Linked DNA regions of Caenorhabditis elegans. The protein of the gene in region 2 interacts with the protein of the main gene of each other region in a pairwise test. Each region holds a gene or a part of one and is shown on either strand. Other genes may lie near its edges.

Region 1 (3,876 bases), on a different chromosome or scaffold from region 2:
GTCAAACATATAATCTTAAAGTATCAATATGCACCACCTCAACTCGTTTACCTCTTTAATGAGCCACCTGCACTGCTTTTCGTCTGCGTCTCTCACTTCTTCATACTTTTTTTTCCCGGCTTTCTCCGAAAACATCTGCTCTTTCTCTGTGTGTTCCCGATTCCCTCAAATCTTTTTTTGTTCCCCCGCGAGAGGGATATTCAAAACGTGTGTCTCATAAATGTAATTTATATTCTAGAATCTGAAATTGGTTGTTTTTCCAAATTAAAAGAAGTATCATTGATATCCCCAACCCTGTGTATTAAATGTCTTAAAATCAGAAATCATCTTCTCTCATTATCACAGCTTTACCATTCAAACATTCCCCCAAATTGTCTTTTTCTTCACCTTGTCCTGCTTTGGTTGTGCTTTAATTGTGAATTTCCCAACTCCTTTATGCTTCTTTTTTACTTCCTTCCTTAAAAAACTTTGCCATCATCCAACGTTTGTTGTATTTTGTCTTCCATTCATATTTTCAAAATGAAAACTTCATAAAAATGAAAGGAACAAGTGCAACAGAACAAAACAATTACACGGGCGTTAGAAAGACAGGGATGTGGGGAAAATTCAGGGGAAAAACTATGCTGATGGTTTTAGAATGTTCATCTCATTTTCAGTGTTAGTGATCATACTGTAGCAGATTTGAGAGATATCGACTTCTGGAGAGCCCTGAAACAAAATAATACAATTAAGAATTAGCAATATTTAACAACTCACCATTTCAAGTTCATTATTACGAATCATCAATTGAACACGAGAATGATAGCTTTGGTGTTGACGATACATATCTACGTCGGCGAATACTCTCATGCATTTCTGAAAATAAAGTTTACAGGATATTCAAGATTTAATTTTCAATTATTTACCGTGCAATAATTTGGTTCTTCAGCTTCTTTCTTATCATGAGAAGCATACATATGCAGTTGACAATCCTCTCTTCCACTACATTCGCACTTGCAAATTGGGCATCGAAAGCTGTAATTTTCAGATTTTGCATGGGATATTAGTAAGACAATAATTATAATAATTTGCGGTAAAAATACAAACGCTGGTCTTTTCACGTCTTCTTTTTTTGTAAAATACAAAAGGGCGTGCGCCTTTAAAGAGTACTGTAATTTCAAATTGAATTGAAACTTACATCTCAAACTCGAGTGGTTTAGCTTGTTCTAGAACATCGGATGCCATGTGACAGTTAGTCAATCGCATTGTAGCTCTCATGATTTTATCGTCAAATGAAGATAGTGGGATAAGCTGGTTTCGGCAGATCATATCAACCCATTTTGAAGGATCTTTACCCAATAAAAGTTTCGGAACCGATCGCTTCTTCTCTGGATTGTAATAGGGCATCGATGTCCCACGAATGACTAGAGCATCGGACGGAATAATTCCAGACGAACGCCGATTGCTGAAATCATTTTTAAGACGAGATAGATATCAGAATTCCCCTCGTACAACACATATAATTCGTGGTTCGTGTATTATACGGTGGACGTACAATAAATGTATTATTCACATAATATAATGGACGAAGTTCTTAAAATTCGTGCAATGCAATGTGAATAACATATTTATTGTACGTCCAATGTATAATATACGTACCACGAACTATTTGTGAAGGTGAAGGGTCGACCGATTGCCAACCTCGAATATGGTCTATAAGCAGCTTCCAACTCTTCTTTGCTTGTCACATGAGTTCGCATGTGCTTTTTCATGTTTCCTTTCAATCGGAACTGTTTTCCACAAAATGGACACACATAAGGGGTATAGCCGGTGTGAACGGTACGATGCTCGAACATATTCGATTTGTATCGGAATCCTCGGCCACAAACATCGCAGATGTATGGTTTGGTGTCGGTATGAATCACAGAGTGCTGTTGGAGACCTGAAATGTTTTTTTTTATTTCAGCTTTCTATTTTTATGCGAATAACCTTTATAATTCATAAACATTTTATTACACACATTACACTGATGAACAGCAAACGGGGCGACTTCTTCTTGTTGATAGGTTCCGAACTAGAAACATTTCAATAATCTTAAAAATAAGAATCGAAATAAAATACCGTTATAGAAGCTTCGTAGTCCTCGCCGTCGTAAGATGGATCCGTTCGGTCATCAATAATTGACATCTGAAGTAAAAAATAAAATTTTTTGAAGAAAAAATGCAGACAATTTGTTGGTTTAAACATAAAATTAAGACAAACAAAACTCATAAATTAATTGACAGCTTCTCTAAATTTTAGGATTACCGTGTTTGACAGTTTCGTGGTGAGACCCAAAAGTTTCGTTGCGTCATGCGCCTTTGAGCACAGTGTCCCCAACAAAGAATTGTTTCTGCAATTTCGAATTAAGCTGAAAACATTATTTATATATTTAACAAAATTAGTTTAGAACAGAAGAACAGAAAATTAGAACATTTTCGATCTTTGTATTTTTTATACAAATATAATTTGAATAAATTTCCATACTTCTTCCCCGTTGTGTAATTTCTTTACTTTTCAGAACTTAAAACATTCAATTATTCTTTATTTTGAATTTTCTGTAAAACCTGCGCAATTGAATTTTATGTATTTATCAAAACAATTTTCAGCCATGCTACAGTAACTTCTTTAAAATCATCATTCTTCCTTGTCTAAATCGGAAATCTGTCTGTGTCCCGTTGGTCTATTTTGTTATTCGTCTGCAGTTTCTTCTACTTGTGCACTATATCGTTTCCACTGAGCGAGAGAAAGAGTATACACACACAACACATGCCAGTTCCTGTCCTTTGCCGCCCATCACCATTTTTTTCACCGTTTCGGCTCTGAAATGGACAATTCGTCACAGAGCAAACCGTCTAGTAGTTCGTCCAGTCATTCGCCAAGTCCTGCCGCAATTGTAAGTTTAATGGATTTTGAGTAAAGAAAAATAACGTTTTCTTGTAAAAACAGTATTGTATTTAATTTTTAAAAAAATCAGTTGAAGACGTATAAAGCCTGCTTTTACCAAAACTATCAATAAAAATCACTGAAAACTCAATAAATTAATAAATTCAGACACCAACACAACGAACAACACGAGATTCCGGATTGTGCTCAACAATTGATATTCCCGAAATTCAAGCACAATGTATTGATAATTTAAATAGTCATTATCTCGGAAAAGGCACTTATGGATTGGTTGAGAAAACAAGATATAGAAAAACTAGGCAGGATGACTTTAGGTTCGTTTCTAGCTTCAAAAATTTAAATTTAATTCTTTTAAAGCATGAGGAATTATCAAAAGTTAACAAAAAATCAATAAAATCACCAAAATATTATTTTCAGGCCAGCAGCAATCAAATATTCTTCTCAACTTCATATGGCAACTCTTATAAGAGAAGCAAAAGTTATGTGGGATCTCAGAAATCATCCTAATATTATAAAGTATGTTTTTATAAATGGAAAATACTGAAAATAGAAGTTTTTCAGAATTTATGGACTGTACAAAAGCCCTCGGAATGGGCAAGGAGTCGTTATGGAATATATGGATTGTGGAAGCATGGCCGATTGTGAGATTTTCATTTAAATTTAGTGAAAATCCCCGATTTCGCCAAATTTTTTAACATTTTGTCGGTTTATTCCGTGTTTCTTAGCGAATTAAACTACATTTTTTCGGCAATAGGAACAGAAATTTCTATCAGCTAAAAATATATTAAAATACATCAAAAAAGCGGATTATACTGCAAAATATGGAAGAAACTGAATAAAAATCAATATATGGACGCTGTAACACGAAAAATCTGGCAAAAAAAATTTCACTATAATTTTGAACAAAAAAAATGCTATTTGGTTTTTTTTTTCCATTTTTAGTCTTAAAAA
Region 2 (4,715 bases):
AGATGATAAAATGATAATAAAATGAATACAAACAGTTAATTCTCTTTTTATGAAACAACCAAAGTAAATTAAACATTCTAAAACGATAATTTTAGATTTTTTAAAACTAGATATATTACCCAGATACGAAAGTTTGCAATTTTCACTTAAAAATACAGTACCAGGTCTCGACAAGACCAAATATAATCTCCACGCCCCATGGTTTTGCAATTTTATTTGTTGTAATTTTTACTCTAAAAACCTATTGGATGTGACAATATTTATCTAAAATTAAACAATTATATATATTTTTAACTAGCTTAAATGAAAGAAAACTGCAAAACAGTGGGCCGTGAAGGTTACTGTACTTCTTAAAGGTGCCTATCTCTTTTCATTTGGATATATTCGATCGTTGTAAGACCTTGTATCGTACTCCAAGATGTTAATAAAAAAAATTGTCAATTAAACTGGAAAATAGTAATTTGAATTAGAATTTTCAATGTTCCGTTTGATTCTTTGAAACTTCCAATATTGTTCGAGTTTCTTCACATGTGTTTTATTTTGAATCATAGTATTTATTGAACTTTTTTATGATAAGACTGAAATAAATAAAAAGGACGAGGAAAATGTGGAAGTACAAAAAAGAAAAGAGCGAGAAATCAAAGTAGCAGAAGGAGGGGTGAGTGAGGTTTTAGGCTGGCTTTTTAGAACAAGAATTTTTCTCTATGTATGAGCCATTACGTAGTAATAATAATACTTAAAGTTCAAGTGAAAATGAAGAATAAATAATCGGATGACGGTGTGGGAGGATCGTAAGCAAACGGGTCGAGATTATGCAAAAAATATTGGAATAAATATAATATTTGAGAACCATTACTTCTTGGCCGGTGCACTCGCTTTGTCTCCGAATTCAACTTGACATAACCGACATGAATACTCATCATCTGGAGCTTTTTCGAGCGCCGGAGTCAGACAATAAAGATGGTATCCACGATCACAGTCGTCACAGAAGAGCAATTTATCCTGAAATCCAATTAATATTGCACTTTATAAATATAATAGAAAATATCTTACATCATTTTCACTTGTACCACAAATGGTGCAACTCTTGCACTCAAGACACTGCCATCCGCTTCTTTTTATGATTTTGGTCACATTTTGATTAAAATTAAGACAGGAAGGATGACCAGAACGACCACAATCATGACAACTAACGAGATCCTCTGGCAATTTTGTATTTTTGTTCATAAAAGCAGTGCCGCTGCAGAAATCACAGCTAGTAGATATTTCTATACTGGGAGACAATACTGAAAAATAATACATTTGAAAATAGCTTGGAATGCAAAAAACTTACACTTAACCAGTGGTTGACTAGACTTTTGATCATGAAGATACGACTGATGATAGCTTAAACCCGCGAGGCTTTTGTATTTCGCGCTGCATTCTGAAAATTATCAAAAATTTTAAATTACAAACGAAAGGACTTGGGAAATATGCGGTTTGAAAAGAGTATTTTCAAATCACAGATTTCCCATTATGCCACATCATATAAGCTTCCAGGAACACTCAGTACATGCTAAATTTAGTGCCTATATTTCTACAAACTTCCTCTCGATAGACCCCGTGTCCCGGGTGGGAGAGATGTATTTTTGATCAGTTGAGCGGTTGCCGCAGGATTTTTTACTGAGGTCCCTCTCGCCCAGGTTTCTTTTACAGAGGGATAAAATACTAGGAGGGATATAAGAATGGGATATTCAGGATACATATTGGCTTATGACTTAGTGCAAATTGATAACGAGAGGAAGGAAGCTAATACATTTGATAAGATCCACAATTATGTGAAGAAGTACTACAAATCACACCACTAATTATGAAACTAATATTAAAAAAAGATCATACATAATCTTCCAAAATTTATTTTTTAGACCAAATTTCCCATTTTTTTGATTTAATTTTCCTTGGATCTCTGGAGAAACATGCATAATTAAAAAAAAAACTAAAGCATGCAAAAACATAAATAATCTCGTGCAATTTCCAAGCATCCTAATTTTTTGAAAAATCTCGAAACCGAATGAATCAAGATACGAAAAATTAAACTAAAAATCATGATGATAGTGTTCCCGGTAACTGACATGCTGTGGGCGATGGGGGAGGCAAATAAGACTAAAAAGGACAAGAAGAATGGTGTGTTCTCCTGGGCGAGAGGGCTTCGCTAATCCGCCGTACAACCACTCACTGTCACATGGATACGTCTTCTCCTCCGGTTCTTCATATTTTGTTTCCTTCACTATGGAACGAGATGGGGTCAATCGAGAGACAGAGGAACGAGTTGTTGGTACCTAAACAGTCAGAATAAAATTATTTAAACAATTGAATAAATAAAGAAACCTTTTTACGTGACGAAGTTGCTTTCTGAACAGGCCCCAAGTTGCCTTTACGGCGTTTACGCGACGACCAATCATCTTCATCGGAGCCAAACTCGTCTGGAGAGAGCTCATCGTCAAGAACGTAGTCATCACGATATTCCTCTTTGATCTGTGTTTGGCGGGATGGTCTGATGGTAGTTGAGTCGTTCGAACTATCAGAAACACTTTCTGCAAATCGAACTACAAAAATTAGGTTGAATCGTTCTGATGCTTCTCACCAGTTGTTGGTCCGACAACTTGTGGAGTGAGATGATCAATTGCAACCTGAATAGACGGATTCTCACGCAAAAACATGCTCATCTCAACAGCATCAGATGGTGGCTGTGACTTGCTCTTCTTCCATCTCTCGGTTGCGAATTGAACAACAGTATTTGGATCATTTGATGGATACATGTGATCCACGTTGCGGGTTGTGAAGCGAGACTCTCGCTGGGCCGTAGCCGTTTGATGTTCATAGTATGGGAACCGCAGTCTGCAACTTTTAGGGGCTTAGTACAACCAAAAAATAATTCCTAAATGCTCTAAAGATTTATCATTACTTAGATTATTCAGATTTCAAATGGATCTTTTTTAAGTAGCCGAAACATCAATAACTAACCGTTTTTTACGATCCTCCATTTGCCGGGAATTCCATTTAATGCAGTTCCGCATCAGGTCCATATATCCGTTTTCCGAGATCATTGTCTGTAAGATTAGCTGTCTTGGATTATTTTTAAACATTTTGATAGCTCAAGAAATCGGGCGCCCGGTGTGAACAAACAAAAAAAACAAGAGAATGAATGAACACTGATCGATAAATTGGACAGCTGCCGATGTACGCAAACACCAACACGCGAAATTGCGTATTGTCCAGCGTGGACTCGTTGGCTGATGGACCTTTTGGCTCGAGTTTTCTTCTTCGTTTCCGGCCTAAAACGTTTCGTTTTTCAATTAAACAGTTTAAATTTTTTGCGATAATTGATTAATATGTAGCTACGCATTATGTGAATACCAAAAAATGGTTGAAAAGTTCATGTAGGCCTACAATTTTAGAAAATCTAGGTCTTTCGAAAACAAAAAAAAAACATTCGGTATTCAGAACGTTCGAACAAAATGCTCTATTCAAACATTCTAGTTTTCATAGAATATTTCCATGCATTTTACCTAGCGAATCGAAATGTTTGTTTTTTTGTTGAATGCAGGGTTATGTGTTTTTTAACTGTAAATACACGTAGTTTTTGCATTCAATGTTTAAAAATTTTGTCTTTATGTTTTAAGTTCCATTTTTTAGTTTTTTTCAGTAAACCTTTTTAGCTTCGTTGCGTTGTATTTGCATTTTTCAAAATTCCCACGTGGCACATTCAGTGCTGGCTTTTATTGCACTCTTTTTTGTCTGCGAAAGGAAAACTCTAAACCATTTCTGTTCGTTCTCCGGAACTTTACCGTCCATATAATATAATTTTCTCTGTTCCCTATCACTCTATCCGTTATCTTTTGATAAACAACGTTGACCTCGATAATTGAAAACATACCCATTCACTGGAATGAATAGGTGTTTTCCAATTCATTTCATATTTGCGTTTTCTTTTCTTTACCTGATGTATGTATCTAAATTCTCAAAGTATGATAATTTTTAGGGTCATCATGAACATCTTCCGTATATCGGCAGATATGTCGCACTTGCTTGCGATTATCATCCTTCTGCTCAAAATCTGGAAGAGCAGATCGTGCTCCGGAATCTCTGCGCGGTCGCAGATTCTGTTCGCTCTCGTGTTCACTGCTCGATACTTGGATCTTTTCTCCACATACATTTCTTTGTATAACACTACAATGAAGGTAACTTTCTGTCCGTAACAATTATAAATACAATCAAATTTCAGATCACCTTCCTCGCCGCTACGTACGCCACAGTGTATCTGATGTTCTTCAAATTCCGCTCAACTTACATGCGCGAGTCGGATACCTTCCGTGTCGAGCTTCTCATCGTCCCAGCTGCGATCCTCGCTCTTCTCATCAATCACGATTTCGCTCCATTTGAGTTGCTCTGGACTTTTTCGATCTATTTGGAGGCTGTGGCCATTCTTCCACAACTCTTCCTTCTCCAGTCTACCGGTTCCGCTGAGGTAAATCTGGAAAATAATAAATAATACAATAAATGCGCCAAATTTGACTTCAGCGTGCAAAATTTTCCCTCTCAATTCGACATGCCGTAAAAAAGTGTAAAATCCAGAGATGGCAAAATTGGAGATAGTACAAGAAAATTGTTGTGCTTAGAAATTGTCGTTTCTCCCGATTCCAACCGTTTTCCCCGTATTCCGAATTTCGCGCACA

Evidence for each region. Proteins that work in one complex are often made in the same cells at the same time.
Region 1: the proteins of dpff-1 (region 2) and lsl-1 interact in a two-hybrid assay, tested with the Caenorhabditis elegans proteins (one large-scale study listed by BioGRID).

Annotation. Positions count from the first base shown.
Region 1 is NC_003279.8:9,899,569-9,903,444, reverse strand, and holds lsl-1 (C2H2-type domain-containing protein), read right to left. Parts: upstream 2,167-3,876; coding exon 2,101-2,166; intron 2,054-2,100; coding exon 1,969-2,053; intron 1,922-1,968; coding exon 1,681-1,921; intron 1,445-1,680; coding exon 1,178-1,444; intron 1,015-1,177; coding exon 906-1,014; intron 856-905; coding exon 757-855; intron 709-756; coding exon 619-708; 3' UTR 516-618; downstream 1-515. Other genes in the region: Mitogen-activated protein kinase kinase kinase mom-4, read left to right, coding at 2,846-2,914, 3,073-3,239, 3,343-3,441, 3,487-3,566.
Region 2 is NC_003281.10:5,903,030-5,907,744, forward strand, and holds dpff-1 (Zinc finger protein dpff-1), read right to left. Parts: upstream 3,094-4,715; 5' UTR 3,087-3,093; coding exon 3,004-3,086; intron 2,878-3,003; coding exon 2,624-2,877; intron 2,586-2,623; coding exon of another isoform or gene 2,574-2,585; coding exon 2,368-2,573; intron 2,319-2,367; coding exon 2,216-2,318; intron 1,424-2,215; coding exon 1,334-1,423; intron 1,287-1,333; coding exon 1,054-1,286; intron 1,003-1,053; coding exon 853-1,002; 3' UTR 534-852; downstream 1-533. Other genes in the region: ER lumen protein-retaining receptor erd-2.2, read left to right, coding at 4,029-4,220, 4,265-4,507. UniProt on the Caenorhabditis elegans protein: Probable transcription factor, involved in meiosis and stress protection.